Macaca fascicularis: one gene and its partners. The protein of the gene in region 2 interacts with the protein of the main gene of each other region in a pairwise test. Links are inferred from orthologs where the notes say so. Each region holds a gene or a part of one and is shown on either strand. Other genes may lie near its edges.

Region 1 (3,645 bases), on a different chromosome or scaffold from region 2:
GACGGGCGCATCACGAGGTCAGGAGATCGAGACCATCCTGGCTAACATGGTGAAACCCCATCTCTACTAAAAAATGCAAAAAACTAGCCGGGCGAGGTGGCGGGCGCCTGTAGTCCCAGTTACTCGGGAGGCTGAGGCAGGAGAATGGCGTAAACCCGGGAGGCGGAGCTTGCAGTGAGCTGAGATCCGGCCACTGCACTCCAGCCTGGGTGACAGAGCGAGACTCCGTCTCAAAAAAAAAAAAAAAAAAAAAAAAAAAAAAAAAAAAAAAAAAAAAAAAAAAAAAAAGAGTGCTGCGGCAGGAGGATTTCCTGAAGCCAGGAGTTTGAGACCAGCCTGGGCAACACAGTGAGACCCATCTGTAAAATTAATTAATTACATTAAATAAACAGAGCAGGGAACAAAACCACTAGCCCAACAAGAACGAGAGACACCGCAGGCTCTGCCTTCATCCTGAGAGGCCCAGTGAGGAGGGGATGGGGGAGACTTGCAGGACTCCCTCCAGGGTGGCAGGAACAGCAGTTTGGGGGTGGCATTTTGGAGACCTGGGGACTGTCCCCACATCACCAACCAGTGTCTCAGGTGCTCCCACTGTTTCCACCTCGGCTGCACGGGGCTCTAGCATGACCCTGAGGTGACAACTGCAAAGATTCTACCCACAGCCACCAACCATCACCAAGCCCAAAACACTAAACCTTACCAGCGTTGCTGATAACCATCTGCTAGGGCAGTTCGCACTGCTTGCACCAGGAAAGGCTGCCCAGAGGCTTGAGGACATGCCCAGAAGCCCCAGCGCGACTGGGGAACATGTCAGCGAAGCGTGTGTGGCTGGGGACTCTCTGGCTCATCTGGGTTCCCAACCCCCATCCTGCTGGTCCCTCGGCTCTTCCCAAGGGCTCCATGAAGTTCACAGCCTGGCTGATTCTAGGGCCAGCAGGAACTGCCCTCCCACGTGGGAAGCCCATGCAAAGCACCGCTTTCAGGATCACAGGCAAGTGGGGGGCCAAGGGCTGAGCCCTGAACCACACATTCTCTGCTTTAAACTTTTGCTTAACGAAAACTGTTTAGCAAAAGAACACAACAAAAAGACCCATCTGTGTGCACAGAAAGGAATCCTGAGATGAGGAGAGAAGGGAGGAATCCTGAGGTGAGCAGAGAAGGAAGGAATCCCGAGGTGAGGAGAGAAGGAAGGAATCCTGAGGTGAGGAGAGAAGGAAGGAATCCTGAGGTGAGCAGAGAAGGGAGGATTCCTGAGGTGAGCAGAGAAGGAAGGAATCCTGAGGTGAGGAGAGAAGGAAGGAATCCTGAGGTGAGGAGAGAAGGAAGGAATCCTGAGGTGAGGAGAGAAGGGAAGAATCCTGAGGTGAGAAGGAAGGAATTCTGAGGTGAGGAGAGAAGGGAGGAATCCTGGGGTGAGAAGGAAGGAATTCTGAGGTGAGGAGAGAAGGGAGGAATCCTGGGGTGAGGAGAGAAGGGAGGAATCCTGAGGTGAGGAGAGAAGGGAGGAATCCTGAGGTGAGGAGAGAAGGGAGGAATCCTGAGGTGAGGAGAGAGGAATCCTGAGATGAGGAGAGAAGAATCCTGAGGTGAGGAGAGAAGGGAGGAATCCTGGGGTGAGGAGAGAAGGGAGGAATCTTGGGGTGAGGAGAGAAGGGAGGAATCCTGAGGTGAGGAAAGAAGGGAGGAATCCTGGGGTGAGGAGAGAGGAATCCTGAGTTGAGAAGAGAATCCTGAGGTGAGGAGAGAAGAATCCTGAGGTGAGGAGAGAAGGGAAGAATCCTGAGGTGAGGAGAGAAGGGAAGAATCCTGAGGTGAAGAGAGAAGGGAAGAATCCTGAGGTGAGGAGAGAAGGGAGGAATCCTGAGGTGAGGAGAGAAGGGAGGAATCCTGAGGTGAGGAGAGAAGGGAGGAATATTGGGGTGATGAGAGAAGGGAGGAATCCTGAGGTGAGGAGAGAAGGGAGGAATATTGGGGTGAGGAGAGAAGGGAGGAATCCTGAGGTGAGGAGAGAAGGGAGGAATCCTGGGGTGAGGAGAGAGGAATCCTGAGTTGAGAAGAGAATCCTGAGGTGAGGAGAGAAGAATCCTGAGGTGAGGAGAGAAGGGAGGAATCTTGGGGTGAGGAGAGAGGAATCCTGAGTTGAGAAGAGAATCCTGAGGTGAGGAGAGAAGAATCCTGAGGTGAGGAGAGAAGGGAGGAATCCTGGGGTGAGAAGGGAGGAATCCTGAGTTGAGTAGAGAAGAATCCTGAGGTGAGGAGAGAAGGGAGGAATCTTAGGGTGAGGAGAGAAGGGAGGAATCCTGAGGTGAGAAGGCTGATGCCTCCCGGGGTGTGGGGCACAAGCCCTGCTCACACCGAGTCCCAGCGCGGGCCCTGCCCTGGAGCAGGCAGCCCTTCTCCCCGCTTTGTCATGCCAGCTAAAGGGAGGTTCCCAGAGCCAATTATCAGAAGAGCAATGCAAAAACACATACCAAGATCCTTCACGCTCCCATAAAGAAAAGGAGGATTCCACACTTTGGGGAAAAACAATGAAAGTCCCAAAACACACAGAAGCATCAGGGCTCAGAGGAGGAACACGAGACCCTCTTGGAAACAAGAGCTTTGGAGGTGGCCCTCCTCAAAAGGCACCTCTGCCAGCATCACCGGGCCCTGAGAAGACCCACCTCTGTTTGCTGGAGGTCTCTTCAGCCTTGGGCCGCCAGCCCCACGGCACCAGCTGCAGGTTGTCCAGGCGATTGTCCACAGTCACAGCGTTGAGGTGTACCACCTGGAAGCCCGGGGCCACGCCCCCCCGGTGCCGCTCCCTACAAACAGACAGCAAACCCTGCATCTAACCCTGCATCGCTGCCTCCCACCCTCACAGATAACCAAAGTCCTCCAGGAAGAAACGTCAGCCATGTGATGTGATCAGGCCCCTACCCCTCTGGAGGAGGGTACCTCAGGCGGAAGCTGCCAAGAGAAACCCAAGCACCTGATCTGTGGCCCAAACAGGACAGGGATACAGGGAGGACCTGGGCCCTGGACTTCGGAGCACAGACAGCCAAGGGTGGAACGTAAAACCACCTGAGCAGATGGCCTGGAGACAGCTCCCCATCTGAGTGGTCCCCACCATGCACACCAGGGGGCTCAGCAAAAAACCAGCAAGGGGAGCAACCACCGTCCCTGCAGAGGCCACCAGTCCTGGGCAAGCTTCCAGCAGAAAGTCCACTTGGTGTTTGAAGCGTAACATACAAATCATTCATTCCTTTGAGTTAGTGGCAAAGCACACAAAAATAACTGCGAGATTCAGGGAAGGCAAGGCAGGGCCTCAGTGGGGCAGGGGGCTCCAGGCGCCCTGTGCCATCGGAGCTCACCCAGGAGCCCAGTGGCAGGGGGCAGAGGCAGCTTGGAAACACCCACCACAGCAGTTCATGAAGGAGTCTCCCAGAGCCCCTTCCTCGGTTCTTGTCAAAGGCATAGGCAAATATCTTAGCACCATTTCCATCTGCATCCACTTCCATTCGGGCCTGAGAAGGAACAAGGGAAAGAGCTGTTAAAAAGCCTCCAATTCTCAGCAACACTTCAATTCCCTCTTAGAAAAACCAAGTGAAATGGCCGGGCGCGGTGGCTCAAGCCTGTAATCCCAGCACTTTGGGAGGCCGAGAC
Region 2 (3,725 bases):
GCTCAGATACAAACACAAACATCCCCAAGAGAACAAGCAGCTGCTGGCCGAGATCTACACCGGCAAAGCAGAGGTGGAGTTCTTGACACGGAACAGCAGTGAGCAGAGCCTGGGCCTGGTGATGACGCAAACCAAAAACAACTACCCACCCCCAACAAGTCCTCTCTTCTCACACTTCTTCCTCCTCCTTCCCCTCTTCCTCCTTCTCCTCCCCCTCTTCCTCCTCCTTTTCTTCCTGCCCCTCCTTATTCTCCTATTCCTCCTCCTGATCATCCTCTTCTTAATTCTCCTCCTCTTTCTCTTCCTCACTGGTGCAGGGGGTCATGAATGCTGCCTTCCTGGGGCTCCCCTCATGCAGTGTAAATGATCCTAAAGACGGGCTGGACCCTGCAGCCTCCCCTGCCGGGCTTCACTTCTCCCCCACAGCTCTTCCTCAGCAGCCCTGGCTCCTTCTGGCAGAGGCAGGCCCCAGGCAGGCTCCTCCAGGTCCCACATGGCCTGGGTGCCAGTGGGCATTCTCAGCTCAAAGTTCACAGGGTGGATATTTGGGGGTGTCCAGATGACCAGGCCAGAGCCCCCAGCCACACCGTCTTCAGCCCCTGCTTTGTTGGGGTCCCCATCTGAAGCCCAGCCACCCCCTGTGCTAAGTGTAGCTGTTCCCTGCTTGTGTCTCCTATACCTGTTAGGGGCCATGGGCCTGGCCCCCACTGAACCAGATGCTATTTGGTCTAGGTTGGTGAAGTCCCTTCCAGCTGGTGGAAAGTAAAGGGGCTTGATCTTGACCTGGCTTCCCTGTCCCTCTGCCCCAATCAAGTTCCCTGTTAGTGTAAGCTGCCCTTTGTTCAAATGTCCCTGCTGCCTGCCAGGGGAAGGAGTGCTTGGGTCTTCTGAGCCTATGTTTCCCAGGGCTTGGGATGGCTCATGGCCCCAGCCCCTGCCTCGTTTCCCGACTCCTCTCCTGCAGCCTGTGGCCCCTCCCTGCCTGGAGTCTGGTTTTCAGCCTTGGGATACATGGCCTGGCCATAGTCTTCTTCCCTAGTGCTTTCACTGCACGACAGCCGCCTGCGTTTCACTAATGGGGGTAAGCCTCCCTGTACAGTCTGGGTGCTGCTGTCGCTCAAAGACCTTGCCTGCACGGTGGCCTGAGGTGCAGAGGCACTGGCTTCTGCTCTTGCCTGTCTACCAGAGGCCCCCCGGCCTCTCCCTGATGGCTTCTCCTTATTCTTCATCACTGCCTCAGTGTTCTCCCACTCTTCTTCATCTCGAATAAGCTTCATTAACTCCAGAAAATTGGGAGGACACCCTCGCTGATCCAAGAGCTCCAGCTTGCCTCTGAGGGCGGGGGTCATGGAGACCCGAGCTAAGAGATGTTTCAGACGAATCATGTCTGCGCTGCGCACTGACAAGGGGCTCTTCTGCACTGCTTTCTGCAGCAGGGGCTCTAAGCGCAGCAGGAAAGTGGAGACTTTCTCTCCAATCTTCGGAAAGGTCTGCAGAAACTTAAACTGAGAGGCTCTGAAGTCCTCTTTATCCCCAAAGATCTGCTTTAAGGCGTCAAGGCACTGCTCCACAGTTATGGAGTCATTGTTGGCCTGGAGCACCCGCATGATTGACAGAGCAGGCCCTCGTAAGCTCTCCAGCAAACGCCGTCTCTTCTCCATCTCAGACACTTGCCATATGGGCATTATCTCGGTGACCTGCTCTAGCCAGTCTTCAAAGGTCTCTTCACCTGGGCTAGGGGAAGCAGTTCCCGAAAACACTTTCAGTTTCCGGTACCACATACTTTCTTTCAGAGGCTCTAAAGGTGGGGGTCTAACTTGGGGTACGACCTCTGCATCCAGGCTCTCGGCAGGGAGGCTGCAACATCCCAGGGCTCTGGCCACATCTGTCATACTTCGGCCCTCATCTTTCAGGAAGTAGTTCAGTCTAATGAGAAACTCGTCATCTGGGTTACGGGGTTTTACCACCACTTCCCAGGAGCCCCCCTTTCCTGGTATGTGACTAGGCAGAGTAGTGTAATCGACAGTGTCAGCCAATTCAATGAAGACTGCCTTGGCGTTGTCTTCCCTCCTGAACATTCTCCCTAGCACCCTGTATGCGCGCAGGGGCTGTAAGCCTGCCTGCACAGTGTCCTGAATTTCCATCTCACTACACTCCACGGGGATGCCTATGATCAGCAGGGCCTTTCTGGGGTCCATGTCCATCCCCTTGCACCAATCCTCTAGCAGTGTCAATGCCATTGCTCCCACTTTCTATGGACTGATCTAATACTAGGGCAGCAATCAGCTTAGTTTGACAGCACTCAAATAACTCTGAGCCACTGCCACGTAGGAAGGTAGAAGTGGTCCCAGGTTTCCACAGCCTGCAAAGCAAATGGGATGAGAGCATTGTTAATGCCTACCCCAACCTATACCCCCAAGCACCCCTCCTCTGCCCCCACCCCCGAGCAGGGATGGAGTCCCTTCTTCCCAGGGTTCCCCAAGTTATTTTGGGGAGGGTAGAGGGTGGAGGTTCTCCCCAGGCAAAGATCTCCTCATCTCACCACTCCCTGCTGACCTCCTCCTGCTGTGGGTTCCTCCTCGAAGTCCAGAGGACTCTGCTGTGTGTGCTTCGGGTATCTGTAGTGAAAAGGCCAAAGTCAGGAGGCAGGGCCTGACATCTGGGGACACTGACAAGCTCTCCAGGCGGAAGAGGGCAGGAGACGGCCTCACTGCTCACTCAGGGCTATGTGGGCTCAGGTCACCCAGCACCCTCCTTGCTGGAGTGAAGGCTGGCAGCAGGAGAGGTAGAATGGCCCTCTTTCTCAGGAATGCCTGACAGATGAGAAAGATGGCCGAGCTCTGCGCAATGCAATGAGAGTGGTGGGTGTGGAGATTGTGTGACAAGCTGCAGTGTTGCCATGGATACAGAGAATACCATGGACCATGGGTTGCTATTGCAGGGGAGTGTCATGTGGTAAGGCTAAGGTCCTTGAGAAGCAACAGGTGATGTCATTGGCCTCCAACCAATAAAGCTTCCCAGCAAAAAGGAGGGTGGGAGAGGGAAAGCGAGGTGGGCTTGAGGAGTGAGTGCTGAAAGGACAGGAGCTCATGGTTTCAATTGTGTGGAAGCTGAAATCAGGTAGAAAAGGGACCCTGATGAGGTCCCCACTGCCAGACTGCAGGAAACCAACAACTCTTGCCCTAGAGATGGCCCTACCCTGCAGAGTCTGTGAACGCTGGCAGGCAGTCCCCTCTCCACACTCTTTGCCGGGGTTCCAGAGACCCTCCCAACAGGGCCCACCTCACAGCTGCTCACCTTTCTGGGTTGGCCCTGCTGGCAGCGCAGATGCTGCAATAACACAGTCACTTCAGAGTCGCTCTGCTCTTCAACTCTATCCAATTAGGCAGTTCCTGACTCAGGCGTGATGGTTCCTGCTTCCCTGGATCTGTCCAAGGCAAAGCACAGGTATTTTGCTGTGATTCTGTCCCACACACATGTCCCTGCTCAGGCCATGCCAATTCAGATTCTGCATAGGTGTCCACTAGGACCCTGGTGCAGGGGTAGAAGAAACTGCTCAACTGGCAGAGGGAAGAGGAGGGGGGAAGGGGGGAGGGGTGGGGGGGAAGGAGGAGTGGGGGGAAGAATGGCGAGAGGGGTGGGAGGTGAGGAGGGAGGTGGGGGGCGGGGGGGCTGCTGCTAGGGCAGAAGGGATCCTAAGGTAAGGTTGCAGCCCCACCCCCACT
Region 3 (3,691 bases), on a different chromosome or scaffold from region 2:
GAATTTGCGGCTCTTACGCCTCCTCCCTCGGAGCGCGCCCAAGTCTGCAGCCTCGGGCTCCGGGACACTTCCCCTCCCACCCGCCGCGGAGCCGCAGCTGTAAGTTGAGAGAAGCGGGCTCCAGGCACGTCAATCAACCGGGTTCTCCCGCCTCCCGTCTACACCTCCCCTCCCCCCCTCGAAAAAAATAAAGGCAGAGAAAGAAAGAAAAGAAGGTAACTAATTTGGGAACTAGTCTCCGTAAGGGCTTTGCCTCCGACTCAGGGAGGCCGCACGCCCGGGACCTGACGCGCCGGCAACAAGCAGGCGGCCTGGCAGCCGCCCGTCACCGGGTCCTTGCAACGCGTCCGCCGCGCTCCGGCTCCCCGCACGGGTCGGCGCCGCTCCGGCCCCGCACTCCGCCAGGCCCGCGGCCCGTCGCCCTCCGGCCCGGGCGAAAGTTGCGCAAATAGCCCCACAACTGGCAAATACTTACCGGCCGCAGCAGGAACCAGAGCTGCGGAGATTTTAGGGAGTTTAAGGCAAATCAGCCACGGCAAAGGCGGGCGGAGGCGAAGGGGCCGCGAGCTGCAGTGGCGGCGGCGCTCGGCGCTCGGGTTGGGCTGCGCGGAGAGGCTCTGGCTCTGCCAGGGACTGTGCTGCAACAAAGGACTTCCGCTGCCGCACAGCCGCGCCTGCCGCACCGCACTGAGCCGGCCCCGCTTACGCGGCGACTCCGGGTCTGCCCACCAGTTCGCTGCGGCGTCCGCCAGCCTTCCCCTCCCTCTCGCCCGCCCACCCACTCTGCCGCTGGCTGCTAGGGGCACCCGCGGTCGCCTGTTTGTTGCAACAAGTTTCTGCGTCGGGCTCCGAGGAGGCTGGCGCAACCCGCACCGCGGGGGCTGTCGCGGCAGCGGCGGCTTGACCACCCCTCTCGCCCCTCTCTCAAGGGTAGGCTTGGGACCTCCTCCTCCTCCTGTTTGCACAGCTGGATGTGACTGGGCTCCTCCCGACTCCCCAGGGCAGTATGCGCGGCTGTTTTCCCACTCTGTCCAGATGTCAGACCCCTGCCCCGTTGGGCCCAGCAGCTGGGCCGTCCCTCGCGGTCCGCCTCGAGTGCTTCGGAAACCTCGCTCTGTCCGGTCGGTTCAGGGTCGCCTAGTCCCCGCGCTCCCCCCACCCCACCTTCCGTGGGCCTGTCCGCCTCTGGCCCTGAGTCACTTCCCTCGCCATGCCCCACCTCGCCCAGTCCGCCTCTCCACCCAGGCTCCCGCGGCTCGGCCTCCCTGGCCCCGCGCCCTCATCCCTTCCCCAGCGAACACGCGGGCGCATCCTTCCCCACCCCCACCTTCACCCCAGAACTGAGGGGGTGCCTGTGCTTTTGCACACCCTGGGGAAAGTCCCCGGGTCACGCGGTTGTTTGTGGGGAGCCTGTGACGCTCAGGCTCGTCCCTGTGCTTCCGCCTACAGAGTCACGACTGCGAACTGTAGCGGCAGCGCTCAGAGCGCGGGCCGACCCCCGCCCGGCTGCGGGCGGGAGGGCGCGCACGTACGCACGCACGCACGCACGCACACCCTGGCCTTGGCGCCCCTCGTTCCCCTGCTACCAGACACGCGGTCACGTGGGGCCATCGCGGGCTGCCGGCGCGGGAAGCCGCGCGAGAGCCAGCCGCGGGGTGCGTGAGCCGGCTCCACCGCTTGCTGTGCGCGGCTTGGGAGCCCGCCCCTCCTGCACGGAGGAGTCGGCTTGCCGCCGCGGCGGCATCTGGGTAAGCGACGCGGCCCAGCCCTTGTGGGCTGCCCCGGTCTCAGTCCCTCCCGCCGCGAGCCGCCCAGGGCGGCGGCCTGCAGCTGCACCGGTCGCGGGACAGATGCAAGTAGCTGGGGAGAGGGGTGTTTTTGGTCCCATTGAGATGTCAGGCAGGGCACAGGAGGAAAATACATCCGCGAGTGAGCGCTGGGCCAACAATACCCAGAACCACCCTTTGCTGCTGCTAGGAGCGGCCGCCGGGGCCTGATTCAGGGTGGCACACGGGGTGCCTTGAAGGTGCGGAGCCGTCCGTGCTGCGGGTCCGGGTGCGACCCTTAGCAGGAAACCCCAATAGGCCTGCGGCCTCCCCCGCTTGGCGCCCACCGCTCTTAGGAGCGGGCGACTTTCCATATGCTGCGAGGACGCTGCGGCTAGTGTTTCCACTCCCAGCTTGTGATTACCTAGTTTCTAGGGCAAGAAGACTTCCCCCGCGCCCTCATAATTTATTTTCTGTCTTCAAATGTTTATCTTGTTCTAAGCAAATCCAGTTTTTCTTTTTGAAGCTTGACCCATCACCGCCTTCTCTGGCACTCATTATTTGGAGTAATCAGGTGTTATCAGTTGCGGAGGCAGCGCATAGCACAGCGTAGTACCTGGAACTTGACAGCACCTAGCATGTTTTCAACAGTCAGCGCCCGGGTCTCCCCCAAGGGATTAAATTTGGCATTCTTTCTCTTGAAACTCAAGTTCGTCTGGCAGAGCTATTGATCCTCTCACAAGACTATCAAGTGTGTAGAGTACACTTTGGAATCTCACGTTTTAGAGCTGAGCGGTGCCTTACAGAAAATCTGTTGATCATCACAGAGAAGACACCAGGCCTAAAGAGCGTGATGTAACTGGAGCTAGCTACACCTCTTGATAGCTAAGACTCCAAGGCTCCAGACACCTTGGTGATTGCACTCTCCACTATGCCAGGACCGCAGTGCCAGTTTACCCCACTCACCTGTAGAGAATGTATCCGGCGGAGGTCATTATACTTGGCTTGATTCAGATTATGGAGAAATCAGGCATGGCCACTGTGTGGGTTTGATAGTATTTCTAGTGAGGTAGGCCAGCTATGGTGTATTTTTGGAACTAAAAGCCTTCACCCCTCAGCCACCCCTGAAAATTTCATTGCTGTTCTCTTCAAGAATAACCATTATTTGCAGCATTGGTTGCTTCCTTATGTTAAGGCATCAAAGTCTTCTTTAACAATCTTCATATATTTTAGTTAAGGGCAAATCATGAATCCGTTATCGGACATCAGCTCCTTAACAGGGAACAGAACACTGATGGGATAGGACATGGAATAGATTAGTTCTGAGAGCTGGCAATCAATGAAATATCAAGGTATGGTCAGGAAGAAAGCAGAGAGGAACCCACATAACCTGCTACACCTTTTTTGTCCAGTCCTACCTTGAATGTCTTATTTGCATGTATTAGAGATGGATTCTGCTCAAGTTGGCCGCTGTTTACTGAATACTTGCAGTGGGCGAAGTATCATACTAGCTGCTTTCATAAATGAACTTTGTATCTTTACCAAAGAGGAGATGGTACTGTCTTCATGTTACAAGCCTGAGGAAACAGGCCATTACCTGGGCTGTAGTGATATAGTCATTTGCAGTAGAATTTAAGCCTAGATCGCTTATCTCTCAAGTCCAATCAGTGCTCTTTTGCATTATGTCTTGCTCCTGCTTCAGCCAGGAAGGGAATGAGAGAATCGCCTGTGGCTGATTTATTGGCGCCTGTGGTTGCCCAGAGAGGCCAAGCAGGACTTTCAGCTGCCCTCTATGCCTTACAAAATGGAGCTGTGAGCTTCCACCCTATCTCCTGAGGGGAATGTGAAGGAGCCAGGCTGTCTAGCTGGGGAGGAGGGGCCCAAGTGCCTTGGCCGTAAAATATCCTGGCCAGGGCTGTGCTGGG

What was found.
Region 1: the proteins of PNMA5 (region 2) and ZMYND19 interact in binary tests that used the Homo sapiens proteins (3 or more experiments, as listed by UniProt). The two-hybrid records come from large-scale screens. The link is inferred for Macaca fascicularis from reciprocal best matches to the Homo sapiens genes PNMA5 and ZMYND19.
Region 3: the proteins of PNMA5 (region 2) and ZBTB25 interact in binary tests that used the Homo sapiens proteins (3 or more experiments, as listed by UniProt). The two-hybrid records come from large-scale screens. The link is inferred for Macaca fascicularis from reciprocal best matches to the Homo sapiens genes PNMA5 and ZBTB25.

Annotation. Positions count from the first base shown.
Region 1 is NC_088389.1:1,728,808-1,732,452, reverse strand, and holds part of ZMYND19 (zinc finger MYND domain-containing protein 19), read right to left. Parts: intron 3,507-3,645; coding exon 3,400-3,506; intron 2,805-3,399; coding exon 2,664-2,804; intron 1-2,663. UniProt on the Homo sapiens protein: May be involved as a regulatory molecule in GPR24/MCH-R1 signaling.
Region 2 is NC_088395.1:159,084,051-159,087,775, forward strand, and holds the start of PNMA5 (paraneoplastic antigen-like protein 5), read right to left. Parts: upstream 2,855-3,725; 5' UTR 2,557-2,854; exon of another isoform or gene 2,543-2,556; intron 2,363-2,542; 5' UTR 2,241-2,362; coding exon 894-2,240; 3' UTR 1-893.
Region 3 is NC_088381.1:132,324,186-132,327,876, reverse strand, and holds the start of ZBTB25 (zinc finger and BTB domain-containing protein 25), read left to right. Parts: upstream 1-822; 5' UTR 823-930; intron 931-1,587; exon of another isoform or gene 1,588-2,026; intron 2,027-3,691. UniProt on the Homo sapiens protein: May be involved in transcriptional regulation.